4 linked regions of the Alligator mississippiensis genome follow. Each later gene encodes a partner of the first gene's protein in a complex. Links are inferred from orthologs where the notes say so. Each region holds a gene or a part of one and is shown on either strand. Other genes may lie near its edges.

Evidence for each region.
Region 2: NUP214 (region 1) and NUP205 share a complex: the UniProt entries of both Homo sapiens proteins name them as parts of the nuclear pore complex. The link is inferred for Alligator mississippiensis from reciprocal best matches to the Homo sapiens genes NUP214 and NUP205.
Region 3: NUP214 (region 1) and NUP85 share a complex: the UniProt entries of both Homo sapiens proteins name them as parts of the nuclear pore complex. The link is inferred for Alligator mississippiensis from reciprocal best matches to the Homo sapiens genes NUP214 and NUP85.
Region 4: NUP214 (region 1) and NUP188 share a complex: the UniProt entries of both Homo sapiens proteins name them as parts of the nuclear pore complex. The link is inferred for Alligator mississippiensis from reciprocal best matches to the Homo sapiens genes NUP214 and NUP188.

Annotation. Positions count from the first base shown.
Region 1 is NC_081835.1:59,555,355-59,563,358, forward strand, and holds the start of NUP214 (nuclear pore complex protein Nup214), read left to right. Parts: upstream 1-4,988; 5' UTR 4,989-5,054; coding exon 5,055-5,096; intron 5,097-8,004. UniProt on the Homo sapiens protein: Part of the nuclear pore complex. Has a critical role in nucleocytoplasmic transport.
Region 2 is NC_081827.1:91,530,712-91,538,291, forward strand, and holds the start of NUP205 (nuclear pore complex protein Nup205), read left to right. Parts: upstream 1-4,562; 5' UTR 4,563-4,620; coding exon 4,621-4,648; intron 4,649-7,580. UniProt on the Homo sapiens protein: Plays a role in the nuclear pore complex (NPC) assembly and/or maintenance. May anchor NUP62 and other nucleoporins, but not NUP153 and TPR, to the NPC.
Region 3 is NC_081831.1:12,344,188-12,351,448, reverse strand, and holds the start of NUP85 (nuclear pore complex protein Nup85), read right to left. Parts: upstream 3,007-7,261; 5' UTR 2,957-3,006; coding exon 2,924-2,956; intron 2,838-2,923; coding exon 2,747-2,837; intron 2,212-2,746; coding exon 2,049-2,211; intron 1,327-2,048; coding exon 1,256-1,326; intron 483-1,255; coding exon 439-482; intron 1-438. Other genes in the region: 52 kDa repressor of the inhibitor of the protein kinase, read left to right, coding at 3,454-5,850. UniProt on the Homo sapiens protein: Essential component of the nuclear pore complex (NPC) that seems to be required for NPC assembly and maintenance. As part of the NPC Nup107-160 subcomplex plays a role in RNA export and in tethering NUP96/Nup98 and NUP153 to the nucleus.
Region 4 is NC_081835.1:58,084,481-58,091,950, forward strand, and holds the start of NUP188 (nucleoporin NUP188), read left to right. Parts: upstream 1-4,463; 5' UTR 4,464-4,533; coding exon 4,534-4,559; intron 4,560-7,470. Other genes in the region: DOLK (dolichol kinase), read right to left, coding at 1-445. UniProt on the Homo sapiens protein: Component of the nuclear pore complex (NPC), a complex required for the trafficking across the nuclear envelope. Required for proper protein transport into the nucleus.

The sequences.
Region 1 (8,004 bases):
ATCCCAGACGGTCCCAGCCAAGGGCTCACTGAATCAGCAGTGCTCCTCTCTGTCCCTATTCAGTCATGCTTGCTCTTCCCCAACCAACACAGACCCCAATTTTGACATCCAGCCTCCCTGCCTCTCTTGGCATCCGCTCTTAGGGAGTCTCCTGTTGATAAATGATCCCAAACCTTGGTGCTGACTGCCGTGGTCAGGCTATGAAGGCTACGGCAGGGCTTGATGAGAAATGAGGGGGTCTGACTGGATACTTTTGTCTTTCTGTCTGTATAGAAGTAGCTATGGTAAGACTAGGGAGGAGAAACCGGAGAACCCTGAGAGCCCCTAAGGCACAGGCCTCTTGTGGGTGTTATAGCAATTGATTGCAAATTAGGAAATGCATGGTGGTGGGTATTGGGGAGCTTGTAATCTTAATGTGTTGTGAAGGATTGCTCATTGGAAGTGAAGCACTGGCTTTAATCAATGCCACCCATCAAGCTAGCTGTCCCCATGAAACAGAGAAACTCTCCAAACCACGTGTTTCAGGATGCATTGGCTCTGGGATTGAGCTGGGCTAGATCCTTGGATGTTTAGGAGCCTGGAGAGGCCTTTCCTGCTGGCTGAATCAAGGTGCAAACCCATAAGTTTCTAGATCTGCTAAAATGTCTGGCTGAAATTGGAGCATAATAGAAGCTTAAAACCTGCAGGACAGGGGAAGTCCTCCCCACATTAAGGCAAACTAAAGTCTCAGTGACTTCCACCTATATTAAGCCTGCTGAATGTGTAGGATTAAGCTTGGAGTGTGCTCTGCAAGCTGCTGGCAGGAATACACCACTGCTCTTTCTTCATACAGAAACTACAAAAGGAGCTACTTGACATGTCAAGGCATTTCTGGGTGGCTATAAGCTGAAGCTCATGCCAGAAGTGAGATAATGGGAAGAGTTGCCCCCAGATAGCAATTTTGCTGGCTGCTGACTGAAGGATGTAGACACGAATGTTGAATCTGTGAAGAAGCCGCAGAGCCAAACAAGTTTCTTGGTGGGCCCCTCTTTGCCCGGGGTGGATGCACTCGTGTGAGCCTGATGTCTCTGGAGACGATTCTACTAAGTCAACTGTTGGTTGCAAAAGGTGTTGCTGCTTCTGTCTATTGAGTTTTTAAAGGTAGACTTCCTAATATATTGGGTTTTCTAGGAGGCTCCTTGTAATGTGAATAAGCAGCTGGCCTCTGAAGTTTGGTCGTTTCCCTCGCTGCCAGTGGCCAGTTAGTTCAGTTCCATAACATCAAATCTAAATTGGCTGTTCTCTCTCACCTGAAATCTCAAGGGGCGGTGGGAAAACCAGCCCAGCTAGTCTTGCTTTGGACATTCACAGAAAACGCTGGGGATGTCCTACAGCTGCAGGAGAAAGTGAGATCAGAGGAGTCCAGTCTGAGCCCCTCGAATCCATCCAGCCTTGCTGTGGGGGAGTTTACTTTCTTTATACAGGTGGCCTCTGAACTTCTGGGATCCTACAAACAAATGCTTTTGTTTAAATGTATTACAATGGGACCATTCTCATGAGTGAAATTCAGCACATTGGAAAGGTTGTCTTGGCAGAGCTGGGACCTTTCGAGGGCAGGGAAGGACTCGTCTGATGCCAGTGTAGCTGGGACCATGCTCTGATCATTCGGGACACTGATGCGATCATTGCTTTCTATGTAAACTCTTGGAATCTGGTTGTTTGCTGCTGGGGTTTAACTGCTTACTCTGTTTCTTCTTTTATGTTCTTGGCAGCTTTTAACTTTTGTGGTTTTTAAATCCTTGTATAAATAAAAAGTCCAAATAATTGTAACTTGACTAGACATCTTGCTCCTTCCAAGGGCTGTATTTTTTTTTATGTCTTGCTATCATCTTTGTATGAAAACTTTGGAATTGTGACAGGGGGAGAGACTGCAGATGGGGGTGGCACAACTCTGCTTGTCCAGGTGGAAAAATAAACCTTCTGAAACAACTTGAAGCTTCGGCATGTCCTGTTCTTGTTTGAACCAGGGTAAAACCGAGTTCTAACCCCCACCATGTACTGACAGGAGGGTTTTGCCTACCTTCTGCCAACTCATTTTGGACCCATGCTTGTGTCCTGGGTTACAAACAGGAGGTGGAAATCCTAAATCAAAGCACATCTGTCTGAAACGCTTCTGTTACCACTACTTGTTTTCCACTGCAGGAGCAAGAAGACGTCTCGTTAGGTATGACCCCTGCCTCTACCCTGCCCCTAAGGAATAAGGGCAAAAGAAAAGTCCTTCCAGCCTAATGCAAATCACCAAAGCAGGGCCCAGGAGATGTGGGGCAGGTTTCTCAGCTGCACAGCTGCCCTTGTGCCCCAGCATGGGCAGGAGAAACAAGTAAAAGACATCTGCTACAGCCTTTCTAAAGAGCGTGTGTACTCCCCTGGGGCCAGCACTCACTTCAAGTCTTGGAGAATTAGAACCAGGAGGGCAACTGATTTACCAGTGGGAGATTTTTGTCCCCCTTGCTTCAGGTAGTTTATTGAATGTAATTTGGACATCCCGGCACTATTGTAACAAGGACTTTTATCCCTGAGCTAGAGTGAAACTAGCTTAGCTGGTACTAGCAGGTCTTTTGTACTGTCTGGACTACCTGCTATGGACTGAAATGACTGCACACTTATGCTGTGTTACAGCTGCCTCCAAATCCTCTAGTGCAAGCAGGTGGACCGAGTGAAGAGAATTTCCCCCACTGTAAAGCCTCCTTTGGATAAAGCAATTGGCTGCAAATCACACTGGGCTCTGCTTTGAGCAATTAGTTTTCTGCATCCTGAGCCCAAGGTGGTCAGAGACTTAACTCTGTGGCCGTTTACGCTGCAAGCCTAAGGGTAAGAGGCCGTCACGCCGCTAAGGTCAGCGCTAATGCAATTGTATTTGCTTACAGCAGGGGTGACGTCGGCCTCAGGTGTGGAAAAAGGCAAGTAGGATCTAACAGCTGGTGTCCTGGGGCAAGGCTGGCTAATGAGATTGCACAGGCAGCGCTGCTGCGTTTGCCCTTCACATGCTCTTGCGTGTGCTTCTCTGCTCCATTTAAACACTACAGCACATCGCAGCAGAGCATTGGCTGACTTCAAAGGGCTACAATAAAACCACAGCAGGCTACAAATGATGCCTGGTGCCAATGATGGGAATGCCTTGGGCCAGGGGAGCATAAATTGGACTGAAATAATTCAGCTAAAAACAGCATGTCGGTAGTGGCTGACAGGGCTAGATCACCGGCCTTCTCAGTAGTAGCAGTGGGGACAGGTACACAGCCCTGCCAAGCCCCTATTGCACCATTAAAAGGGTAGTGTCCTCCCTTCTATTTGTGCTGGGAGCTGGAAGTGGGTGGCTGGGGCACTGTCCCCTGAACGGGCACAGCCAGGTCCTGGAGAGCTGCTGGGTACGTAACAGGACTCCAGGAGCTGGCGCCTTAAGATTATCCCCAGCGCAATCATTCTGAAACTTTGACCATTGCTCCTGTCCCTGTTTTGGCTTTGAGTTGTACTGAATAATCAGTGCCATGCCCCTAGTGGCCCCCATCACCAAGCGGGGCTCATAGCTCTACGTGTTGAGCTTTGGCCCATGTTCCCAAATGGTACATCAAAAGGCCTGTGTCACACGCAGGGCCCCCAGGGACTGCGGGGTCGTTTCCCTGTCCCTCCTCCATTCACGTCTCACCAGGCAGTGTCCGCCAGCTCCTTGAACACGTTCGAAAGCCAGCAGGCAATATCCGCTGTGCTGTGCTCGGCGTCCCGTCTTGGCACACTCTTTTCGGACCTTTGACCATTGTTCTCATCCCTGTTTTACCTTTCTTTTGTCCCAAGAAATTAGTTGTTACTTTCTCAGCAGCCTCCTGTCCTAAGGAAGTCTTCTTGTTCTTGGTGGGGAAGAGCCCACGATCCCTTGGAAGTAACAAATAAGCCTGTTTCACGCGGTGGCAAAGAACAAATGCTGAAAGGAAGCAGGAACTGAGTCTGGCCAGGAGTTTTTCCCTATTGTCCCTCTCTCTCTTGCAGCCTTCAGCATTTCAGTGCTTAGGAAGCTCCTTCAGAGGCCGCGGCCCACACTCCCAGGCTCAACAGCGGCTCTCCAAGAACGGGTCCAGGCCCTTGGCTGAATCTGGCTGGACGGTCAGCTCCCTGCGCTAGTGACCCTCTGGGTGCAAAACAACGTCCTGACGTTCATTTTACACTGACCACCTGCTTGTTTCATGCTCTGGGCTGGTGGGAGAGACTCGGCGCTCAATGCTGGCTGACTTCCTCTCCGCCATCTGGGGTGGCGTGCATCCCTCTTGTCCCCCCCCTCCCCAAACAAGTGTTTCTCTTCCCAACCGATGAGGCCGGGCTTTCGCCTCTCTCTGCGTGGGAGCCCCTAATCCCCCTGGTTGCCCTTGTGTGGCCATCTCTAGTTCCTCTCTGTCCTACGGGGGCAACCGGGCACGGCAGCCCAGGGCTGGGGGCACCAGGGGCTTGTCAACGGGGCTCATAAGCAGGGATCCTGGTTTTCTCGGATTTAAAAAAATCCCCAATTTTCGGTTTAAAAAGAAAGAACCCCAAATCCACATTTTTCTGTGATTAAACCGAAACACCGTGTGTGTGTGTCTCTATATCTATAGATAAATCTATCTAGATCTATATAGATAGGTATACAGATAGATTTGTAGCTATAGATACATCGATCCGTATCTATAGATAGATTAATAGATAGGTATAGTGGTGTTTCATTTTAATCATGGGAAAATGTGCATTTGGGGTTACATTTTTTTAAACCGAAAATTGGGGGGGGTTTAATCCGAGAAAACCAGCACCCATGCTCGCAAAATTTATGGGTAGGCCCCGCCCCTACCCTGAAGCCCCGCCCCTTCTTGCAGCCCTCTCCCCTCCCCACCCCGTTCTCTAGTCCTCCCGCCCTCAGCTACCATCGAGCGGCGCGGCTAGAGCGGCCTCCGGCTGGGCCGGAAGCGGAAGTAGCCGGACAGTGTCAGTGGAGTGCGTAGCGCGCGGCGGCGGCGGTGGCGGCGGCGGCGGCGGCTCGGCCGGGCCTGGTCACCATGGGCGACGACATGGACGTGATCCCTGAGCGCGACATGAAGGTGGGGGAGGGGGCAGAGCCTCGAGGGGCCCTCTGGGGTGCGCGGCGCTGCACAGCCTGAGCCCCAGGAGTCTGCGGTGGGGGAGGGGCAGGTGGGGGGTGCTGGGGGAGGATCAAGGCCCCCCTCGGGGGTGCTGGGGGGATTAAAGCCCCCCTTGGGGGTGGTGGCTGCTGCAGGTGTAAAGGGGAAGGTGGCTCCCTCCGGCAGCACGGCACCAGCGGCTCGTGGCCACATCGCCCTGTTCAGATTGGTCCCAATGGTGCTGAGGGGGAGGGGGTTATCTTCCTCTGTAGCAGGGGGCTAAACATTTCGTATCAGATGCCTGCCTCAAATTGTTCGAATAAGACGGCAGGCCAGGGCGGCGAACGTGGAAGTGTTAAATGTTGCTGGTCTGTCATTCGTGAGAACGTTGACAAGTAAGACACGACTCGGGTGGCTTGGTCATGTCAAGAGAATACCGGATCGCAGGATCCTGACGACCGTGCTGTACTCTGAAGCTCGCGCAGGGTCTAGAGAGAGGCGGCAGGCGCTGCACGGGTTTCGCGATGCTTGCAAAGGAGACTCGGCATCTTTTGGCACCTCCGTGGCTGATTGGGAAGGCAGTGCGGAGTGCTGCTCTGGTTGGCGGACTCAGCTTGCAGATGAGCGAGGCGCTGCGGGGTTGACCAGATCAAGTTTTGCGACGACCAGCGTCAGAGGAGGAAAGAATCTGCTCGGATTCAGAGCATCGCTAGCGCGTGGGTGGCGTGCCCTGTCTGTGGGCCCTGTCACGTGCGTTGGATTCAGCAGCCATCAGAGAACTCATCAGCGCGTACGCCATGCTCTGTAAAGAGCAATGGTGCTAATTGAGTGATTGTAGCAGGGGTTGTGGCCTCCACCCCAGATCCCTTGGGCATATATTGGCAACCTTTCATAGAAGTGGGACATTGGCTGCCTTGGTTTCCCTGCTTTATCAGTGCCAGGTTTGGGTGCTAGGTCTGTGTTGGCTCAGGATTGATGGTCTTACGTAGAGTTTGGGTGATGGATGATAGAGGATGGTTTGGATAGGGGTTGGGCCTGCCTCAGGTAGAGGTTGGACTGGATGAGCTCTGGAGGACCCGCCCAGCCGGACTCCTCTGTGGTTCTATGACATTTCCAAGCCCCCCCCCAAGCCAGGTGATATGGCCCCCTGTGTGGGACATGACCCAGGGTTTGGCCCCCAGCCCCACATACCCTGGGTTCAGCCCCCAGACTAGGGATGAAAGGTTGGGTACAGCTGCTGCAGAGAAAAAGCCTTGTTTCACCTGAACAACCCTCAAGAGGGATTTTGGCACCAAGCAGAAAGGCCTGTCTTGAGCTCTGGTCGTGCAATTTCATAAGAAAGGAGTTTTGCCTCCTTTCCATCGCTTATTTCCTGTGTGAAGTGTGCGGCCCTTATCCTTGTAGGTGATTCCTGGGAAAGTCCAGTCTTTCCATGCCCGTTGGAACCTCTGGAGCAGATCGTTACAAAGGGTTTGGCCTTGGCTCTCTTGGAAATTCAAGCATTTTGTGGTGGTTGACCTATTTGCGATGTATTCCGGTGGTTCTTCATTTGAGAAAGTGAGGAACAGCACTTCTGTTGGCATAAAATGAAAATGGTCAAAGGTCAGGCTGAGAGCGCCTTTACAAAGGATGTTAAAGAACAGAAGATTAATTTTAACTTCCTAAAAATAGGAACAAGGGAGGAATGGGAGCTGCTTTACAGTAAGGCTGGGGTAGAAATTAAAGGTAACCTAGATGTGGCCTAATACTTAAATGAGTATTTCAGTATTCGTGTAAGATGTTGGTACAGAGCCTATTATGTTCCTGTTGTATTATGTGGGTCAGAGACTTTGGGTTTTAATAAAGAGGGATTTCTGCAGGCTGTAGCAATAAATAAAGGTATGTATTGGGAGCTTGAGATCAGACTGAGTGAGTGCTAAGGAGCATGTTAAATCAGCAGAGTTGAAGACATGGGTAGAAAGACAAGAGCTGGTGTAGTTGAAGCAAACAGGAGAGAATGCAGGAGGACAGGATACTTCATGGCATGATGAAGGTGCATACTGAGGGCAAGAGGCAAAGGGAAAGACTGGAAAAACCTGGAAGGGCATTTTGACTAGATGGTGTCAGGGAAGAAAGTATGTATATAAGATAGCAGGCAGCGGAGAAGAAGTGGAAGGAGATATATTACCAGACCCAGGGCAAATTTCATGCACTCAACGGAAATTTGTGTGTATTTTGTCCTTATACAATGGGAGCGCATCTTTTGGAGATGATGGAGGAGGAGGAGGAGTGTCTGCATATACTAGTAAGTTGTAGGCTGACTGAGGCTTCTTCAGTGTGATGCAGCCATGAAAAAGGCAGCACAGTCCTAGGAACTATCAGGAGGATTTCCAATAGGAGGAAGTACTGGCATTAATGCCGTAGCACAAAGCCCTGGTACCTCATTGGAAATATTGTGTGGTTTTTCTGGTTGTTCAGATTAAAGAAACCAAGGTTTCAAACTTGGACAGATGCAGAGGAGAGCTACTAGGTTGACTGGAGAATAGGGAGTCTGTGTTGAGAGGAGACAAAAAAAAAAAGCTTGGTTTGTTCAGCTTAGTGAAGCAAAGGCTGAGTAGGAAATGATCACTTTTTTTAAATACATCCAGGGAGGGGAAAAGAGCTGTTTAAGCTAAAGGGCAGCATTGGCATGAAATCAAATGGGTATAAACTAGTTGTGATTATATTTAGTTTAGAAATTAGGCTTGTGACCATTGGAACAGTTAGCTTCTGGAACAGCCATCCTGTAGGTGTGGTGGGGGAAATATTTCTAAAAAAAAAAATTTAAGATGAAGCCAGGTGTATTTATGGAAGGGATGCTATGATGCAGTTGCTCGAATAGCAGGGGGCTGGATTCAGTGATGCTCTT
Region 2 (7,580 bases), on another chromosome or scaffold:
ATCCCCCCCATCTGGGCCCACTCCCCCTTTCCTCCTGCTGCCTGGGGTCCAGGCCCGATGTGGGGAGGACTGGGCCCAAGGGTGGGGAGAAGCCAGGCCGTGGCGGTGGAGGGAGGCAATGGAGCAGCGGGCCCAGGCCAACCTGACAGCAGCAGGGCGATGGGAGGAGTGGGCTTGGGGCAGATGCGGGGGAGTGAGGCTGGGGGAGGAGTGGACCCGGGTCCGACGGGGAGAGGAGGCTCGTTCTCCCCTTCCCCTGCAGCTGCCATGTTGGGCTGGGCTGGGCTGGGCCGGGCCGGGCCTGCTGTTCCCCCCCACACTGCTGTGGTGGGCTGGCTTTTCCCCCGACTTGAGCTTGCTCCCTACCGCCCCGCGTGAGGCCCAGGCCCAGTCCTCCCCTGGCCCCACTGCCACCGCTGATGCCATGGTGCTTCTGCTCCTCCCCTCTGTGTCGGGCCCGTTCTGTTGCTGCTGCCTCCAGGGAGCAGGGTGGAGGGGGAGCAAGGCCGTCTCCTATATCCCCACTATCATGGCGGCAGGCTGCCTTCTGTCAAAACACTTCTTTGTGCTCTGATTGGCTGTTTGTCAGCCAATCAAAGCGTAAATAAAGTGTTATGGACAGACAGACAGGCAGTCGGACAGACTTAGGCTTTTATAATATTAAAATAGCTATCTTGAGCTAGGAGCAGATGTTATCCTAGGACTAGTTAGACCTGTTTTTTGTACCAGAACAGAACTATCCTGGGATGAGTCCGTGAAGAAATCCTCCTTTCTTTCTTCATCACTTTGGTTATTCTAGGTGGACCCCCCCCCCCCCCCCTCTCTCTCTCGCTTTCGTTTTTGTTCAGGCTGGTCAACCAGGTGACCTGGCTGGATAAATTCCTGAGGGGAGTGGGGTATGCTCCCTTCCTGGTGCCAGGCATTTTTGAAAGCAACAGACAATATACCTCCAGGCTGCTGCCTGGATGATTTTCTGTAAGTAAAGACTTAGAAACTAGCCAGGAGTTAGGATTTATGTCTTGGCTAGGCATGTTTTAAAAGGATTATTATGTCCAAGGCTGTATAAGACTCTGATTGCTTATGTTTACTCAAAGTGTATTCTGACTTCCTTGTTCTACCCCTGCTCCCGCCCTGATCAATGAAGGTAACAGGTTACAGTGTGCTTTGCTATGGTACAATGAAGGGGAGAGAGGCAGACCTTTTTGCTTTCAGCTTAGCCAGTGGAGGTTGTCTGTTTATGTTCCCTCAGTCCTACCTGAGGTTATCTTGGGATGCTTTGGGCCAAAACAGGCACCCAGAAATATTACCTGTGGGCAAAGCAACCACACGGTTCACAGGATCTGTGTGCCCTGGGCTCCACAGAGCTCTAACAGAAACCAGTACCTGGGTGGTGGCAGCGTTACCCCAGAGTTGCGGGTGTTCTCCAGGAAGTGGGACAGCTGGCTGTAGGCACCCTGTGGGAGACTCCCAAGTGAGGTTTTTGGGCCTGGCACAGTGAGGCAGGTGGCTCTGAGTAGTAGTGCCCCCTACTGTGCCACCACAGGTTTCATACATGAGTAGATCTCTGATTTTGAAAAGAGGGGCGCAGATGGTGTGGTGCATCAATATTTTTCTCCAGTTAAAGAGAAATTAGAAGATTTGCTAATATGCTAGGAGCCCAGAGATACATTATTCAGTTTAAGATCAAAGCAAAACCAAATTCAACTTTATTGGCATGTGCATTCATTTGCTAGATCAGGGGTCAGATGCGTTTTTGAACAGCATGCCCAAAACACCCACAACCTTGTCTGTAAGATGTTGGAATTCCAGGGACAGACAGCAGGGAAGCCATGAGGGCCCTGATCTTTGTTGTGGCAGCACAGCCCCGGGCCCTTCCCTACTGTCAACCCTGAGGTGTGCATGCCAAGCAAAATGCTTTCATGTGCCACACTCTGGCACATGTGCCGGGGGTTGCCTACTAAGGGTGTGTGAAGTTTTGGTCGCTGATTCGAGTTGGAGAAGATTTGGCCCAATTCAGAGGCCAAATCACCGAATCCAAATAGAATTGGAAGACCAAAAAAACCCTCTGAATTGATTCAGAGCTGCCAAATTGATTCAGAAAAGATTTGGAAAAAGATTTGGAGATTTGGAAGGACAAATTAGTTCAACAAGAGGAGTGGGCAACAAAAAAGAAGATTCCATTTCTCAAATGTACATCCTCTAAACCCTATAAGAGGAAATGTTCTGCTAGGATGTCCCTCCCCCACCCCCCATTTCCTTTCTGTACATCTCTTCTTCTACATTGGCTATTGTATTTTGTCTTTCTGGGGTTTTATTTTGGTTTTGGTCTTTTTTCCTTAGTTGTCTTTCCCTATTCAGCCATCTTCCAGAGCAGGCATCAGCAATCTTTTGGAGCAGCAGAGCAGGCTGCTTTAATGCACCTGGCTGCTGCCACTGCCTCCGCTTCTTCCATCACCACAATGCTGTGGTGGCTTCCCCCGGCCAGCAATACTGGTCCCTGCTGCAGAGCTGACCTCCCCAACAATTGCGGCAGACATCCTCCCACTGCCGAATCGCTGCAGATGTGTCCAGGATTCGCAGACCAAATCTGTTTACTTGGTGGGCCTGATCCGGCATGCATGCTGTGGGCTGTTGATCTTTATTCTAGGGTCCCTATTTTCTCTGCGTAGCCTTTTTTATTTCCTTTCCCATCCCATTATCTCTGCCTCTTTTCTTCTTGAGTCTATCTGCTGTCTCTTTCCCATGAATGTAGTTTATTGAACGTTGTTTTGTAGCCAGAGAAGTAATAATTTTAATAAAGTTCAGTGTGAAAACTACTGGCCACTCAAATGAAAACATCTTTTAGTGTCATCTTCTATCTCTATGGTAACACAAGATGGAAATTGCCAAAGCAAATCTGCAATTATTAGAATGGCTAGTGGGGCCTTAAGAAAGAGATTATTTAAAAGCATGAGGCCAGCATGCTACTTGCAGACAAGGGAGTCTTGTCAGGTATTAATGCTTATTCTGTAGCTCTAGCTGTATAACCAAATGGCTGTTTTGTCCTTTCTTCTTCACTCCTAACAGTTCTTTCAACTTTCTTTTGAGAAATTATTTTTCCACAATTTCAGTGTTCTTTGCCCCAAGTTGAGGCAAGCCTTTGTTGTATACTGGAGTGTAAACCCAAGTTTATCATAAAAAGGACACAAGACATGGATTCCTAATCCAGTACACTTGCTAGTAGAGATGGTTCAAAACATTGGTTTTTTTCAAAAACAAAATTAATTTACATTTGAATTTAATTTGTATTTTAGAAAACTGAAAGGCCATTTTTCATCAAAATGTTTTGAAATTTGTTGTCTATTAAAATTTTCCAGTTTTTCAATGAGAAACTATACAGATTGAAATCTTTTGGGTTTTGAAAACTGACAAAAAACGATTTATGCTTTTACAATGACCCTCCCCCCCCCCCAATGTTTTCAACTAACTTTAGGTGCTAGTGACATGAATGCACACACCCTTATGGAAAAACCTTTCACAAATTTTCTCTAGGAGGGAGGCATAAAAACAGACATGTTTATCATTAAGATCTGGAAAAAGGGAGGGAGGGAATTAAAGTTAACAGGAATAAATTGATATGTTATTTTAAATATATGAGACTGATAAAATACAGAAAAAAAATGTTCTACCTGTGGCCCTGATCCTGTAGACATTTATACCTGTGTTTAATTTTGTTAGTTCTTTATCACCTGAAAAAGCATTTTATTAACAAGTTTGAGGCACGTTAATGCAAAGAAAGCATTGACCTGAAAAACATGCCACCACCAAAAAAGCACGCAAGCAATTCCACAGGCAGACAAGGTGCTTTGGGTAAATCCAATATATTTATCTAATAAAACTCTAATAAAAGATACCGGATTTACCCAAAGAATGTGTCTGTCTATGTCCTTAGACCAACGCAGCTACAACCTGCACCCCTACGAGCAGTTACAAATTACAATCACATCTTTTACCAAAACATGTGACTCAATAAGCCACAAAATCAATTTATTTGCAGCAGTTTTTGTTTTTAATGTCTGGTTTCTATTCCAGTGGTTTTTGGAAATGCATAACTACCGTTGTCAATGGCCAGAATAGGAGATGTGATTAATGATGCTGACTGATGTGTCCATGGTGCCTCATTGTCACACGGATCAAGCCACTCTGGGAGCGGGACCGCTAAAACACGTGGCCCAATGGGTAGTGCCTGGGCTCCCGCAGGGAACCAGCTTCCCGTTCACCCTTTCAGCCTACCCTCGGTTGAGGCGCCCGGTGGCACGTGGGGATTCTAGCCCGTGGGTTTAGGCATCTCTGCAGTCCAGGCATGAACTACAACTCCCAGCATCTCCCGCGCTCGGGCCCTGAGGAGCCCAAGAATTCGAGGGCACCCCTGCCTGTCTGAAAGCGTCTCGGGATGCTGAGTAACGAAGAGTGTTGTAAATTTCTCTGCGAGTGGCACAGTAGTGTATGAGGGCAACTGCGTCCCGCTTTTACACCCTGCACTGGGGGCAAAAGGTGGGGCTTTTTAATCAGGCACTCCGACGGACGCCCCGCGCTATTTCTGGGCCTCTCTGCGGCGGGTCGCGGGAGTCGGTTTCCAAGATGGCGGCGCCGTTGGCGGTAAATTCAGGTAAAAAAAAAAAAAAAAAGCCGAGGTGCGGAGTGGCGGCGTGTGTGGCCCCTGCCCCGCGCGTGCTGCCCCCCCCCCTCCCGTTTCGTGCGCGCGGAGCGGGGCCGCGTGGGCTCCTGGCGGCGGCGGCAGGAGAGCGGGGCCTGTAGGCGGCGTGACCAAACGTCCAGATAGCTAAGTGCCGGGTGCGTGGTGTGTTGGCTCCGTGAAGCTGTCGGGCGATGCTGTTATCCAGTCCAGGCAGGACCAAACTTCCCAGCCTTTCTAGCCGTAGCCGAGCGCTGCAGGCAGGCACATCAACGTTTTTTATGCTGACTGTCTGGAGTCGATGACTGGCTTGCCGCCCAGCTCTGTAATAATGCATCGTTATCTTTTTTTTGAAGCAAATCACATGTAGGATGTAATAAACAGACACAGAAGAAAAAGAAAAGGTTTTTATTTAGCTGCTTCTTTTTCTTGAGGATTCACATTACATTCTCCAGGAATCTTTTGTGGCTTGCAAGCCATGGCATAGGCACATGTGATCTAGTCCAGAGGTTTTCAACCTTCTTTAAGGAGTGTACTCCTTCTAGGTACACTTCTGGCTGGTGGTGGCTGGATATGGGGGGGGCTACACACCGTGTGGGTGGTGGATGGTGGTGGCAGCTGCCATGTGTGAGTTCCTCCCCACTGCATCCATCTGTCTGTCTGGGCAGTGCCTGTGTGGCCTGCAGAAGGGAGCCACTACCCCCACCCCTGGCCCTGCTCCTGGGAGGTGGTGGTGCGGGGTGGTGTGTGGCGGTGCTCCACTCCTGCTCACCCATGCGTACCTCCTGGCCCCTTTTCAAGTACCCCTGGGGGTATGCTTGATAACCCCGATGTAGTCTTGAGCGGCACAGAGGAGGGTTATCCAACTGGTGGCTCATGGGCCGTGTGCAGTCTACAAGAAGTTAATCTGCTGCTCATGGACTCCCCTTGGCCACTACTACGCTGGTCTTTGGACAGCAGCAGCAAGAGCCAGGGTCTTCAGGCTCCCTCCCTTCTTTGGCTTCTACCTCCTGCCCCTGCCTCAGAGATGGGAAAAGAACAGCATGGCTAAGTGCAATGCAGGCTGAAGTGCCAAGGGAGCCCGTGGCCAAATAGATGAGCACGTGGATCAGTGGGGAGAGGCAGCCCACATGTGCAGTAAAGTAGTGGTGAAAAGAGCTGCCTACTCACATGGTGTGGGGTGAGCTTGCAGCTCCCTCAGTATGTGGCCCCTGTTTGTGCAGGCCTCGGTTGCTAAGAAGTTAAAATTGCCTTGACACAGACCACAGAGCTGGATGCAGCAGCTCTTGCCTGAAGCTTTAAATTTGTTTGTTGCTAATATGTAGTAATTCATCCCCTCTGTGACTGCCACTCCTGGTTTATATGTAAGTGAGAGAACATCAGATGTCAGAAATTTGTCTCAATTGAGTTCTGTTGAGAGAATGAGAATTGTTTAGTCTCCTTTATGTCAGGTCTCTATTCTATAGAACAATGTACATACATACATACATACATACGGTATGTAAACTGTATGGGGTAGTATGGAAGACTGGAAATGCTGCATGAATGTTCTTTGTACTTGGTTTTGCTACTTAAGTGATGTCAGTCTTAGAGGTTAGGAGATATAGCAATAAAGTGAGAAGTTCTAGAAGTCACACTGAGTTACTGAGTTAGAGCTTGTAAAGGAAATTCCAACCAATAGGAAAAGGTTCTTCAGCCACATAATTAAAAAGAAAATCATGATGGAAAATGTGGGGCTGTTGTGCAGTGAGGGTGTATTAGTAATTAAAGTTAAAGTATACAGGCAACCTCTCTTTAACGCTATTTCGCTATAGTGCTCATTTCACTTTGATGCCCGGTTTCACTTAGCGTTCATGGGTTTTGCTATAATACTCATGTATCGGGCAGGGAGTGTCAGCGGTGCACAGCCTCGTTGCCATCTTGCTTTGTCAAAAACTTTTGTGCTCTGTGCTCTTTCTTGCTCTTTTGTGCTTGTGTCACCATCTTGCTTTGTTTTTTGAGTTGTGCCATGAGTCAGAGACGTGCAGCTGACTCTGAGAATGCAAGTGCTGAGAAAAAACAGTGCAAATGCATAATGCTGGAGCTTAAATTGGATGTCCTGAAGCAAATTGAAGCAGGGAAATGCCAGAATGAGGTCTGTAGAGCGTTGAATTTGTCTGGGTCAGCTGTTGAAAATTTAAGACAAAATAAAAGAATGTGATAGATTTGTAACTCCTTTGAATGCTTTGAAACCCAGTATGCGTAGGGCTCCAATTATGTTAGAAATGGAGAAGCTGTTAAGTGTGTGGATTGAGGATACGACTCAACGCCATATGCCCTTGAGTATGCTGCTTATTCAGAAGAAGGCTAAGAGTCTGCATGATAATTTACAGAAAAATTTGCCCAAGGGGTCTGCTTCTGAGCCTTTTTATGCAAGTAAGGGGTGATCCGAAAGATTTAAGAGGCACAGCAACTTGCATAATGGTTCTATTCAGGGGGAGGCTGTTAGTGCTGACACCCAAGCAGCTTCCAGCTGTAGAAATAAGCTTGTGCAAATTATTGAGGAGGGGGTTTATATGCCTCAACAAGTCTTCAATTCTGATGAGACAGGCCTCTTCTGGGAGAGGATGCCTTCTAGGACCTACATTTCCAGAGAGGAGAAGTTGATTCCAGGTTTCAGGGTGTCCAAGGATCGACTTACTTTATTGCTTGATGGTAATGCTACAGCGGATTTTAAATTGAAACCATTGCTTGTATACCACTCAGAAAACTCCAGGGCTCTCAAAGGGTATCTTAAAAGCAGTCTGCCAGTCATTTGGAAGTCTAACAAGAAGGCCTGGGTGACCATGTCAGTGTTTCAGAGTTGGTTCAGGGCTTATTTTTGTCCTGCAGTTGAATTGGGATCTTTGGGAACAAATGATCTCTA
Region 3 (7,261 bases), on another chromosome or scaffold:
ATCTAATACTTTTTGCTCTTCCTGGAAGATTGGTCTATTATTGCTGCAAGTTCACGGTCTAATTTTCAGGGATTGCTAGGAGACGCATCTGCTTATTTTGGATGTGGTATTTGAAGGGTGAAGTGAGATATTGGCTCACAGATTTTATAAAATGGTAAGATTGCCTCTCACCTGCAAAACTGGACATATACTGAGGTAATAGTGGGGGAGCCACAATTCAAAGGGGCAACTTTTCATAACTGTATAAATACATATAAATAAATGGCTCCTACAGCTTGTGTATCTGGCCATGTACAGCTGCGGGTACACAGAGCCAAATGACTAAAACAACCCAGATTCAGAACATATCACTGCCACAGTATGCTAGCCTTCGTATATTTTCTGGCAAGAGTTTACTTTCAGTTGTGACCAGGTTTCAAAAATATAAGGACTGTTTACCTGAGTGCTATACTGGTTGTGCAGGGCAGGATCCCGAGTTGAAACTGAGGAAGAAAAAAATAAATAGAAGTAGTCCAAACATTTGTCCAGACCTTTTAAACTGTATTTTAGACATGTCACACAGTGCTTAAAGGCTCATGAAGCAGAGTAGCACAGAAAAATAAATGACCATGAGTGATGCTATGTGCAAGAAAAAAACATGACTGGCAACAAGTATCATCATACTGCTGCAATCAGTCACAGAGAGTAGGGGCATTCCACTATTATAATGGTGCTATATTGTTGTCTGCTCTGCGGGAAAACCTGTTTCTAACCCTAAGGGTTCAGAACAGATCATAATAAAGAAACCACCTTTTTCATTCATGAAATGACAGGTGATTCAGAAGTCCAGCATTCTAAAAGGGACAGCAAGAATGACCCTTGACGCAGCTAGGTTAGAGTTGGGGTGCTAGGTTGCAAAGTATCTTGTGTGAAGAAAAATCAGCAAAACCAGAAGCAAGGTAAAAAAATAGAAAATGATCAGGTTTGCCAAGGAACTGAAAAATTTAAGAAAGGAATTGAAGAGTAGAGAAATAGAGTGGATAAGATTAAAAAGACGTAACCACAAGAGTAATCTTGCAAGTTCAATTAAAAAGTAATGCAACGATGTCTCAGCCTCTGTTCAAAAATCAGCATGGAATTTAGGGAGAAGAGCAGAACCCCCACTGACAATCAGAACAGCTTATTTTACGGTCATTTATAATAAAGAGTTGCAATAAGATTCAATGTATGGACTCAAACCTAGTCTGTTTGTTGTTAATGGAGAAAAACAACTTACTAGCCACCTGATGCATGTCCTCCATGCAGGCTCTGATGACTGACCGGTAGTTTTTACTTACTCCAACCAACCTAGCAAGAATAAAGAGGCCTTGTTTAGAGAGAGATGTATTATTGGCCATATGGCTACTGGACATTAGGATCAAGACCCTTCAAATTTTCTCTGCTCAGCCAGAAATTCACCTCCTGCACTGGAGAATCTAAATGAAGCAAGGGGAGTCCATATAGGTTCTGTCTGCACAAAATAATCTGCAGGCGCAGAACCTAACTTTATAAAATATATATTGAAAAGATTAGTTACGTAAAATTACTGATCAGCAGCAGCTCTGAGAACTTGAAACTCAGAAGTTTTGTTATTGGCTTCACTGCAAACGGACTTGTGTTTGATGTACAAACAGGAGCAATACGTTAGGCCTTTTTTGTACAGCATAATTATTAATGTACCACCTCCCTTCCTAACAAGACAGCCATGTGCACCAGTCCTAAGGGGATTGATCTCCTACCCCCTTGGCCAGGGAGGCGGCAACATTCATCAGCAGTAAAGGAGACTAGGCAATAATAAAGAGGAATAACAAAACCAAAATACATTCATTACTACGTTCAGTCAACAAGAGGCAAGTAGGTATTTATGTCTGATCACTTCAGTGACTCGGAGACACTTTAACAACGAAAGGGGACGTGCAAACATGCTACCTGAATTTTGCCTCAATAAGAGGATATTCTTGGGGGGGGGCGGCAAGAAAGCTGAATTGTCCTTTTTATGTCAAACTTATCAAGCATTTCCATCCACTCACTGTGCCTTCCTTGATTTCCCAGACAGTTCTTCCTCACTCCTCTGGAGCCCCACAAAGATGCCATGGGATTCATTGAAAAGTTTACGTAAGGTATGTAAGTATATGTCCTGATCCTTGCGAAGGACATAAATATAGGGGCAGCCAGGCCCTTTCTCCCCGTGTCCTGAAACAAATCATGGAAAGCCATCAGTTCATAAAACAACACGAGCGTTACCACTCTGCAGGGCAGAAGCACGCTTCTAGGCTTCACAAGTTAAAACCCAGGGTTTAACTGTTTTTAAGCGACACATGAGGATTAAGAAATGAGCCAGTAACAAAAACAGCGCGAGAGGTGCAGACCGACTGGATGCGATAAATATTCTGCTGGAGACAACTCCAAGTCGGTTCCCCTGTGATCAGTGTCCGAGTCCCTGCGTTCCTACACCTGAACGCCTACGGCTGATCAGCGCTGCTGGCGCTGAACTCTCCCCCTGCTCCTGCCCCGTTTGTGCTGCTGCTTCTGCCACGTGAAGGTGCAGTTTCCTTCCTTAACGGCCTCAACTCGGGGAGTCAGAGACGCCCTGAAAATCTCAGCTCCTGTTAAAACAAAACCTTAACCCTTATTTCTTTCTTTATTTATGTTCAGCATAAAATAGGGGGGGAGGATGGTAACCCTTATGTTGCTGAATAAGACGGAGGGGGGGGGGGTGCTAACCCACCTGCGCCGGGGAAGGCGGCCTCGCACACCAGCATTTCTCCGGGCCCCCACTGGAAGTGCAGCCCGCGGCCCGGCGCCACCCCCGGCACCACCTGTCAGGGAAGAACGGGGCGGTCAGGTCAGGCCAGGCCAGGCCAGGCCGGTGCCCTCCGCCCCACCCGCCCCGCCGCCTCCATACAGTGAGCGCCGGCTCCACATCCAGCTCCTCCATGGTGCCGCCGCCGCGCTCCAGCCCGGCCGCCGCGCGCCCTCGCAGAGGAAGGCCCCCTCCCGGCTGCCCTCCGCGCTGCCTGTCGCCTTCGACTCCGCCCCACGTTGCGAAGCCACCGCCTTCATTAACCTCCGAGAGTAGAAAGCGCTGTGGCGAGGAGGATGGGTTTGCTGGGCCTTAACAATTAGGTTTGTTTTGGGTTTTTTGGGGGGGGCAGGCGCGCCGAGGGCAGCCCCGCGCGACGGGCTGAAGGAAGAACCCCACTGGCCCTGCTGGAGAGCCGAGGGCCGGGCTCGGGCTCTGGGGTGCGGGCGGCTCCGTTCCGTTCTCCCCGCCCCGCCCCGCCGGCTCGGGGGCGCGGTGCTGTGCCGGTTGTCGGGCTGCACAGCGAGGCCTCCGAAACATCGCCCTGCTGGGCCAACGGGTGCCGCTGTCTTTCCCTCCTGTGCTGTTCCAGGTCCCCGCTCTGCGTGGGGCGCCTCGTGGTCCGGGCCGACATGGAGAAGAGATGGAAAGAAGACGAGACGGCCGCGAATCCGTTCTGTACGAAGCGGTGCGTCGCGACGGTGAAAAGCGAGCCCGACGCGTGGGAACCGCTGGATCCCGAGTCTGCTGCGGCGCATCAAGCTCAGCCGTTGGCGCTGGATCAAAAGGAAGCCCTGCCCGATCCCGAAACTCCCCACGACTACGACATTGGGAACTACGTAGACTGTAGGCATTCGATAAGCGATGAAATTAAGTATAAACTGCTTACCCAGCCGTGGACCCCTCATCCGAGCTATGAGTTCCCGGTGTATAAAGACTCGGAGAACACGTCGCGAAAATTTAATTACTCGTGGCTGATAAATTATCCGTTCGTATCTTATAGCGAGAAATGCGCGGGCGTCTTTTGTCGTGTTTGTGTGCTGTTTGCCCCAATACAGGTAGGAGGCCAGAAACTGTCTACGCTGGTTTCTCAGCCATGCAAGAATTGGCAAAAAGTTACGACAAAATTAAAAAATCACACTACAAAAAAGTTTCACGGAGCAGCCTGTTTGGAAGCACAAATATTCAGCGAATGTTATGAAAAAACCTATAAAATTCTCATACACACGCTGGATGAAGAAAGATGTGCCCAGGTAGAAGAAAACCGAAAGAAACTTGCGCCTATCATTGAGACTGTGGTGTTTGCAGGTAAAAACGGTCTGCCACTTGGAGGGAAGGATAACGGTGAATTGGGTAAGAACGGTGAGAGTAAATCTGAAAGCATTTTCCAATCACTTCTGCGTCTCCATTGTCAAGCTGGTGACATAACCTTACACGAACACTTACTAAATGAGCCCCAAAATGCAATATACAGTAGTGAAACCATTCAAAGGGAAATTATAGAAGCAAGCAATATCATCGTCAGAAGCAAGCTGGTACATGAAATAAATGAGTCGGGTTTCTTTGCGGTATTCCTAGATGATGAAACCACAGTCATTTCAAATGTGGAACAAATGTCTGTCTGTGTGCGATATGTCAAAGAAGATCCAGTTACAGTTTGTGAAGTTTTCCTAGGCTTTTTACCTGTTTATAACCTGACTGGTGCCGGTTTAGCAAAGGCCCTTTTGGATTTCTTGAGGGAATGTAGTCTAGATTTGACAAAATTGAGGGGGCAGGGTTATGATGGAGCCACCAAAGTGGCTGGCCACGTAAACAGTATACAGGCTCACATAAAATCTGACTTTCCCAAAGCTGCGTACAGCCATTGTGCATCTCATGCTTTGAATCTTACCATAGCAAAATCTTGCACAATACGTGGAATAGAAACTACCTTAGGCATTCTGAATGAAGCTATTGGATATTTTGAGGAGTCGGCCAAACGGATGAAGTACCTGTCAGATGCTATAAATGCCACGTGCCCAAAGAGCAGGCACAAACGCTTGCAAAGTGCCTGTGTTACTAGATGGGTGGAGCGACATGACAGTATCATGGTGTTCGCTGAGCTCTACGATGCTATTATTGCAGCACTGGAAGCAATGCAGACGGATGGTGACAAAGCTGTCAGAAATAAAGCAAATTTCTACTACAAAAGCGTATGTGATTTTGAATTTATTATCAATTTGACAGTTGCTGAATTCCTCTTAGGAATCACTCTTCCACTGTCCAAGGAACTTCAGAGGGTAAATGCTGACATTGTGGAATGTTTTGACCAAGTGAAATTGGCAGTTGAGGTTTTAGAAGGTAAGAGATCTAACTCTAATGCTGAATTTGCAGAAATATTTAATATTGCCCAGTCACTTGCAATTAAACATGACATTGAGGTAAAATTGCCTCAACTTGCAGCCCGGCAGCAAAACAGATGCAATGTTTCATGTGACAGTGTTGAGGACTACTTTCGAATTAACACTTATATCCCATTTTTGGACTTCATGATTCAAGAACTGGCGAGGAGATTTACATTGCACAGCAACACTGTAACGGATCTTGGCATTCTAATACCTCTCGTTTCATGTCGGTATCCATCTGAAAAGCTTAGCCGTGTTTTAGAAATGTATGGTGAAGACTTGCCAGATAGCAGGAATATGGTTTTGGAGGAATTTCAATTGTGGAAACTCAAGTGGCAGGGCAAGGAGGAAAAAGAAGTGCCAAGCACAGCCATTGATAGTCTGACAGACTGCGACAAGGGATGGTTTCCAAACATTCATATTTTACTCAGGATTCTGTGCACGCTTCCTGTATCCGCAGCTCCAGCGAAAAGATGTTTCTCTACTCTCCACAGAATTAAAACTTGGCTTCGTTCAGCAGTGGATGAAGAGCGTCTTAATGGACTGGCCATGTTGTACATAAACTCGCACATTAAAATAACTGTCAGTGAAGTGTTGGATGAACTGTCAAGACGCTCAAGGCTAGATTTTATTTTATTACTCTGAATGAGAAATGTACATAGCATCCTAATGATTACAGGACAAAAGTCTTTCCTAGTTTGTTGCCCTTTTTATACTTAATATAGCAACTGACTGCACATTCCAATAAAGTTGCATTTGTTTTTGTTTCAATCTTAAACTCAATAGTATAACCCTTGGCCCCTAGGATATTAGTAAAGTTTCTAGTTTCTTTGTAGTTGGAGAAAAATTGTATTGTTATATGTGATGATGATGCACCGCATCCCATGCTGGTTCTTGTGCCTAGATGCCCCAGGCAATTTTGTCTGTCATCCCATTGGTTATGGCCAGAGGAAACCAGTCATGGTTTATGCCTGATTAACCTCCATAGGCTGAAACTGGAGGCCAGTGTGGAACTATGGAACTACAGAACTCCTCTGGCCAGCTGGGAACACTGCCAGCACAGAAGGTCTAGGGAACTCAAGACCTGCCCAACCAAGAAAGCAAAAAGCAGGAAAGCACTATTTTCTGAAAAAGCAGAAAGTTGATGAGAAAGGGGGCATTGATTACCTTTTAAAGCTCATTCCTTCTACACTAATGTTGTGACTTGGGGAAAGAGGAGGTGTCAGTATTTATGAATGTTGATGTAAGAAGTTGGGAAGATTGCATGCAGTTTATACTCTGTGCACAAAACCATATTAATGCAAAGTGACGGTTATACAATCAGGCTTCCAGAGTTAAAAGTTGAGAGGTCAACTTTAGCCTCGCTCTTTTTGCTTATGCAAACCCAACCTCGGGCTTAATGTGGAAATGATTATGAAATTGCACATTGGTTTTTCTCCTGGAAGTAGCATTTCTGTGGAGTTCTACCCCTTTGCTCCTCTTCAACTCACTGAATTAGGCCATTGACCCCTTACAGACAAGGCACCAGCTTGTGCCACTTTACTATCACTTGGGTGCCACAGGTTTAGGTCTGTTGTGCAGTGTGACCTCCCTCTGCAGTGTGCTCTGGGTGACTAGACACTGTCATGTGTCTCTGTGATGGAGTTAGGCTCTCTTCTTCACAGATTGGCCAGTTGGCACCAATTTGTTGGTATGGTTGGCCAGTTGCCCAAGGATGAATCTTGATTCCTAGATTCAAATAGAATTTAAGCCTCCTAGGGAATCTGGGGGGGGCTTTGCTCTGCTGAACTCAGCTCTCACCCCTTAGCCTTCTTTGTAATCACATGTGTTTCAGCTCAGTTGATTCCAGGCAAGATTCTATCCTTGCTGCTTTCATTTCATGCTTGTTTTACTCTCCCTGTTGGAATTTGGGGCAAATTGTTCTGCCCAGTGTCTCCTGTGAGCTTGGACTTTGGAGTCTGTCCTTGCCATTCCGCAGAATGTCTGCAGATGGCTTTGGAGGGGAGAGTGCAGCGCTCCTCACTTGGAAGGAATTCTGTTTTAATTGAGAAGTTGA
Region 4 (7,470 bases), about 1.5 Mb from region 1:
CAGAAACAGTCAAAGAATGTTTCATGGTGTAGATGATTAAGCTTCCAGCAACACCAGAAAGTATGCAAGTATTAGTTGGCACAGGTTTTGTGATGCCAACTGCTATTACAGATAAGAAGAGGGCTATCACCATGCCAGTGGAGGCCACAACTATGCCAAAACGTTCAAAATACACAATGCCAGACATCTTGCATCTCTCTTTCATCACAATCCCCAACAGTGGAATGACCATGCTAGCTGGTAGAAGGCCGCTATTAGCCGTTGTCCGGAACTGGAAAACTGCTCCACCCAACTGGAGGAGACGGTCCCATTTAAACTGGACATAAAAAGCCTGAATGGCAAGAGCAATAGCGCACCAGGAATACCGATCCCACACCACCATGTGCACACACAGCACAATGGTGAAAACAACCAGAGATTCTACAAGCACTGGCTTGAGTAACATGGTTCCAATCAGCTGTGTCCCGTGATGTTAAAATCGTTATAATTGTCTGATCCCAATGTTTTCAATACGGTCTTTGGTCCGTTCGTAGAAGTTCACTTTCATCCTACTGCAATTCCTATAAACATAAACAAAACAACAACATTAGAGACTATAAGAACACTCAGAGCTTCTACAAAAACAACCCATTTTCTTAAGCTCAGCTGCATGCTTCAACTCCTGTACAAGAAAAATAAAACCAAGAAGGAAATAAACTGGCATTTTCCATGGCATCTAAGAATCAGAAAAGTCCAAGTCAGCTTCCATTTCTAGTGCCAAATCTCACAGCACTTTTATTCACATGCAAATACTAAAAACTCTAGTTGGTATGTCACATTTTTCTTTCCGCTACTGAGAGTAGGGAGGTGAGCACTGCATTCTGCAAGGAGTGTGCACAAATACAAGCAGCAATGCTCAAAAGAATTACACTGGTAAATGCATTTAGCTACTTCAGTAACTTATAACTTAAATACAAAAAAAATCCCCCTTAAGTCACAAGTTTGTTGTAAATGTAAATGACATTATATAACCTAAAACACATGCACGTGTGTGCGCGCACACACACACACATTGTGAACTATGCAAATTAAACAATTATGGATATAATTATTGGTAAGATTTTGGTATTAATAGAGATGAATAATGCTATTCCAATCATCAGCAATATTTGGTTGTTTAAAATATACCAACAAAAACAGAGCACATACTAACTGGTATGTAAAATGAACACAAATCATAAATAAAATAAACCAGAATAGGTAAATCAGATATTGATATTCAGCCTGCAAAGTCAATTTAAAAAATGTAAATGTTCTATGGGCCCTACCTTTGTTCCCAATTCCTTCCTTCCAATTTTTTGTGAATTTACAGTTGTATTTCCCTGTTTTTAAAAATATTTTTCTCTCTCCTCTTATTTTGTGAAAGGCAAGAAACAAACAGCAATGGGTATTGACAAAGCAAACACTGTAAACACACCAAAGATAAACTTCCTCACTGATAAATTTCTAATTATGGTAAGCCTAATTTTAGTAAATAAAAGTCTAACCTATGTATGAATTAAATTTATAGTGTCTCTTTGTAAGGAAACAGTTTTCCTGCCTTTTAATACAAGTGTCTTCTCTCCCTTAAGTAATAATCATGCTTTAGAAATATTAACTAATAACTTGAAAATTTGATCCATGCTGACATTTTGACTGAATAAGAGTCAACACAAATCTGTTAGCAACAGATTCAACACAAATTAAGAACATCTAAAATCTGGATGGAAAACTATAATCTGTGATGCAACAAAATAAATATCCCAGAGTATTCTGTGAACTCCCAGTCATCTTAATATGCATTTTAAGCTTATCCCTACCATGTAGTTGGTCCAATAAGATATCAAACAGAGAAGTCCTTGCCAGTCTGTCTTCTACAGCTTACCTTAACTTGACAATTTCATTGGTAAGGAGGTAAAATCTTTCACATCCTCTCCAGAATTTATTATTTCCTCTTACATATTACATACTTTATCAGTGGTACCTCACTCTATTTAAGCTAAGGAAAAAATATCTTGTAATAACATTCTTAAAGGTTACTCAAATAATTGATGTTTAGGGTCTAGATAGTTTTCTCATTGGCTGGAAACTTTGTACTGCAAATGTAATAATTTTAGTTCTAATTTTCATTAGGGTTCTTTTGATATCTATACCCATAGGATTTGAAATACAAAATTATTTTAAGCGATCAATTCATATTTGCTGCTGCTATAAAGCTAGGCCAAGATGCATGTATTTCCCCCTGTTCAACAACTCATTCATCAGTTTTGAAGTCATACAGGAAAAAAGTTTTATATAGTCAAAAAAGGTTAAAAAAAAACCCGTGCCAATTTTACCCCCCTCTGCCCAATACTAGCTTTGAGCAGGCCATTTCTAGATTTGTATAAGGAGTGAGGACCTCTCCAAGAGGGGCAAAGTGTACCTCACATACTAGCTAGGGAGGAGATATACAACAGAGGAATATGGCTGATTGTAAGTTCCAGCTCAGCTCCAATGCAACAGTGACACTTAGCAGCCTCACTTCAAGAAGTCTGTTCAAAAAGCCCCACAGGGATACACTTGGATGTCAAATGCTGATTTATAAGCATCTTCAAGTGCAACCCAGACACAGTGTAATTTGGAAACCTAGGGTGGGGGGGAAGAAATACGGCCCACAGAGGGGCTTTGCCCAGCCCACAGCAGGTCCCTCAATCCTGCCTGGCCCAGGTGCCATCTGGCCTGTGGCATGTCCTGCCATGCCCAGGCACGCAGCAGGGCTGGGGCAGTTCTGTGGCTGGGCTCCATTTCTAGGCAGCCCAGGTGGCAGCAGATGCCCTCAGCCCCATGGAGTCTGGTGGGGACCTGCACACACAACCCCAGCCAGCCCTGCACCCACTGCAGACTCACCCAAGCTGGAGTGGACCAACTCCAGACCAGCTGGGACCTACATGCACAGCCCTGACCCCAGCCTGCTTCGGACTGCCTGCCCATGTTAAGCAGCGATGCCAGCGTTGGTGGCTGTGCAGAAGCTACCACTGGGTGCAGGGGAAAAGTGCCCATCTTTTTTCGCTGGCCACCTGGAGCCTGCACCTGGGCTATCCTGCGGCTCCTCTCCAATGCCCTGCTGGGCTGCTCAGAGGCAATACTGGTGGCAGTGGTGACAGTAGCAGAGAGAAGCCACAGGGCATGGACTCCAAGCGGTCGCAGCAAGAAAGGCCTGGCAGTGGCAAAGGGAGGTGGGGTGACATATGACTGCTTTTCCCCTGCACCCAGCAGCAGCTTCTGCATGGCTGCCACTGCTGCTCATTGTGGCTGGGCAGTCCAGATCAGGTGTGGGGCAGGTGGTGGTTGGGGGTTTGCATACACTTCCCACCTGGTCTGGAGCTGGTCCGCTCTAGCTGGGGTGAATCCGGAGCGGGTATGGGGCAAGCTGGGGCCAGGGCTGTAAACTCAGCTGCTGCTGGGTGCCGGTGGCAGGGAGGAGCTGAAGGGCGTGTGGGCTCCGGGCTGTTGGGTTGTTTTTTTTGGGGGGGGGGGTAGGGAGAGGGAAGGGTGCAGCTGCAGCTCTCCAAAGCTACCTATGTGGCCCGCGGGCCCAAAGAATTGCCCACTCCAATCTAGGGCATACTATAACTATATAACAAAAGACTTTATCATTCACTGATTTCGTTGCCTTGTTTTAGGAACAAGGGAATTGCAAAGGTTTCACCAAACACGACCTCTCCAAGCTCCATCATCTCACAATACTTCCACTTCCTCACATACAGAAGATGCCACACTATTCCTGCCCTCCTATCTTTCCAGGGTCACCGCTCACTTTCTGAGCTGCTGCAAAATCGCCCTCTCGTTGGCAGGGTCTCCTCGAGCTCATCTCCCAGTGGCCTCACCTCTGTGCTCACTCCATCTCTCACGGGCCGCCGTTATTTCTCATTGAATCTCACCGCTGGTCTAGGCGTCTCTTTTGCAGCTCCTGACATCTCGAGCAGCCGTGCTTTGTCTCCGCACCTCGGCTCTCCAGCTCCTCTCCCGTCTCCACTGAAACAAAAGGCAGGATTTCTTCCTTATCTCCGCTGCTTAGTGTTTGTCTGAGCTCCTTCTACCTCCTTCCATTAACTCCCCCAGTGAGTTTTTGGGGGACAGCGGTGGCCCTGGCAGCCACTTCGGAGGCGACCCAGGGGGCAGGTGACGGGGGCAAGGACGCCCGAAGGAGCAGCCTCCGGGACTAAGCAGGGCCGCGGGGCGCCTCTTCGCTGCGACAACCAGCAATGCCACGGCCAGCAAAGAGCCCTGACGGAGGAGGGACTGGGGAGGGGAAAGGCGAACACCCGCCCCCCGCCCGCGAGCCGCTTCGTCTCCATGGCGCCGCCTCCCCGCAGCACCAGACTCGAGGCCACTCACCTCACAGGCCGGCGCCATCTTGCCGGCTGCGTCCGTCACGTGATGAACCCCCGCGACAGGCTGGGCGCGAGGCCCCGTCACGTGACGCAGGTGCCGGCCCGAGCGGCGGGTAACGGGTCACGTGAGAGGGGCGCGAAGATGGCGGCCGGCGGGCTGTGCGCGAGGTAGGAGCGCGCGCGGCGGTGGCGGGAGTCTCTCCCACCGGCAACGGCTCCTCCCGGGGGGTCGGGCTGGGTTCAAGGGACCCCCTCTAGCTGTCTGTTCCCGTCCAAACCCTCCTTGTTCTCCTGGAGCAGAGACCCCCCCCACCCCTCGGGTAAATCACCTCTGGGCGCTAGGTGTCCCCCCAAGCAGGGGGCTCCGACGAGGTAGGGGGTGGCGCTGTGCCCCGCTGCCAGGCGTCTCCCACGCACCCACTCACTTTCTCCACCGCCCGGCTGGGGCTGGCCCCGTGGCTGCATCGCACCGGGCTGCGGTGCCGCCTGCGCCCGCAGGCCGGGCGGGGGGGAAATGCCCTGCCCTGCCCTGCCCTGCCCTGCCCTGCTCCGCTCCGCGTGCATCTGCATGAGGTGGCTCAATTCACCTGCCCTGCCCTGCCCTGCCCTGCCCTGCTCCGCTCCGCGTGCACCTGCATGAGGTGGCTCAATTCACCCCTTCGCTGCAGTCCGGGAAACGCAGGGTCTGGCGGTCTTCGACATAATCCACTTCTGAAGCTCGTTCCCTCGAGGAGCTCCTGAAAAAACAAGGGCGTCGTGGGAGCCAGGGGGAAAGCAGGCCCTGTGGGCTCCTAGGTCTTGTATAACTCCCTTGGATCCTGGTGCGGACCCCGGAGCATAATAAATGGGTCCTTATCAAAGCGGTTCTTGTTCCTAGTGAGGGTGCGGAGGGGACTTCCTGGGCTCCCAGGAGCTGTTTCCATCAGCCTACATCAGATCCATTTCCACGTGGGGTTTGGATCCCTGGGGGTCCACAGACTGTGTAAAGCAGGGGCGGGCAATTATTTCCGGTGGAGGGCTGCTTACTGAGTCTTGGAAAGCCATCGAGGGCCATATGACAGGCAGCCTGGGGCAGATAAATATTAATTTTCTAAATTTTGGGGGGCTCTGCAGGCTGGATAAATGGCCTGGTGGGCTGCATCTGGCCCGCGGGCTGCATTTTGCCCACCCCTGATGTAAGGGATCCGTGAAAGATGATTATGATCGATCAAAAGCAGGCAAATACACGCACTTAAAAGTCCAAGCGGTCCGCACCTCCCTTTGACATTTTATATGGGCCCGCAAATGAAAAAAGGTTGAAAACTGCCGCACTGAGGTTCATTGTGCATCTCCAGCAGTAAAAGGAGTGGTTAATCATTTTGGGGTGGGTAAACAGCAGCAATTTATCAAACCATTCAGACTTCAGCTCTGTTTGTAAGGACTTCTATTTGGCTTGGGGCTGAGGAGAGTTGGGCTGCACAGCTGCTTGGGGTGTGAGAGTGGAATATAATAGAGCCTAGCCCAGAGGGTCTTGATTGAGGTGTGAATGGGAGCAACCTAATGGTACTACAGTAGTCACAAAACTTGATGTAAACTGGTTACAAGAGAAAGCAGGGCAGGATGACTACAAGAACAAACTCTTTCATCCCTGAATGAAAGAGTGGACATATGTTTTGCAGGGTTATTTGACCTGAGCAAGCTTTCCTGCCCAGAGCAGGGAAGCTGGACCCAATGATCTCATCATGAGGTCCCTTACAACCCTAAACTTCGGTGAATCTGTGAATGATGCAAATGGGTACCCAGGCTGTAAACTTGCCTCTGTTCGCAGCCTTGCATTTGAAATGCTTGAAAAAGTAATTTATTTTATTTTATTTATTTTTAGCAGTGAGAGGAGGCACAGGGACCAGCAGTGAATTAGATATATTAGTGTTTTTGTCCATTTAGAATCTTAAGTGGAGAATATGTGCTAACAAAAATAGAGCAACTTTTTAAACAGTTTTGCTGCCAAATGGAAATCTCAGTTTACACACCACCAGAACGGGACCAAATAGTCCATTGTTCTGTAGAACACTGAGAACACGTTATAGAGAACTTTTCTGGTTCTGTTGCAAAAAAATTACATTCTGTGCACTGCACATTAAAGTCTGTTCTTAGAGCTTTAATCTCCAGAAGTGAGCCATAAACCTTGAAGACAGAGATCAGATTTTCAAGTCAAATGTGTAGTCTCATGATGAAATTGATATTTGAGGAGCTGATATACACTTTAAGCCTTTGGATATCTTTACTGTTCTTTTGATCTTGCTTGTAACATGTCAAAACTCTTTGACTTTAAGCAACTATTTTTTCAATATATTAATTAATTACATGGATAATCATGCCCAAGGCACCACCTGGGATAGGAGCACTATTGTGCATTATAAATGCTTCATAAGAGAAATTTCCTTTCCCAATAGCATCTTTCCCAAGAAGCATCTTTAAGTGAATTGGAAGGAGTTGAAGCCCCATTTTAATCCTGGAAAAGTTCTGAATGAAATGAAAATGGGGTGGAATTGATTCAGCCATATTGCTGTTATGCATTACAGAGGGAGTATCTCCTTGGGAGAATTCTGTAGTCTTGGTGCTCTGCACGGGACAGAGGGGTGACACACATTTTATCGCTAATTGGAATAGGACAGGTTCTTCTGCTTTTATAGAATGAAGTATATCTAACTAGAAAGGAATCGGCAGCTAGAAACTACACCAATGAGTGCATTAGAAACCGTAACACTGGAAATCAATTATGTAGCATTGCTGTATTAAAAGACACTTAGGGATTTGAACTTTATAGTGATATTTTTTGTAGATTGCATTCTCAAAGTAAATAGTTTGCTTTTAGTTAGTGTTGCTTTTCTTTGCATTTCTTGGTTCTTCTGATTACTTGTGAAGGAATTATGTTCAGGTATTTTGCTACTGCTCTACTATTTGAGAGGAAGTAGTAATTTTCAACCAGAGGAGAAAAAGATGTTTCTAGTCTGCCTCATTCTGGAGTAACTCCAGGGTAATTTAGTCAAAATAAGACACTTCCATCCTAAGTGTATCTTGATTGGCAGCAAGTCAGGCT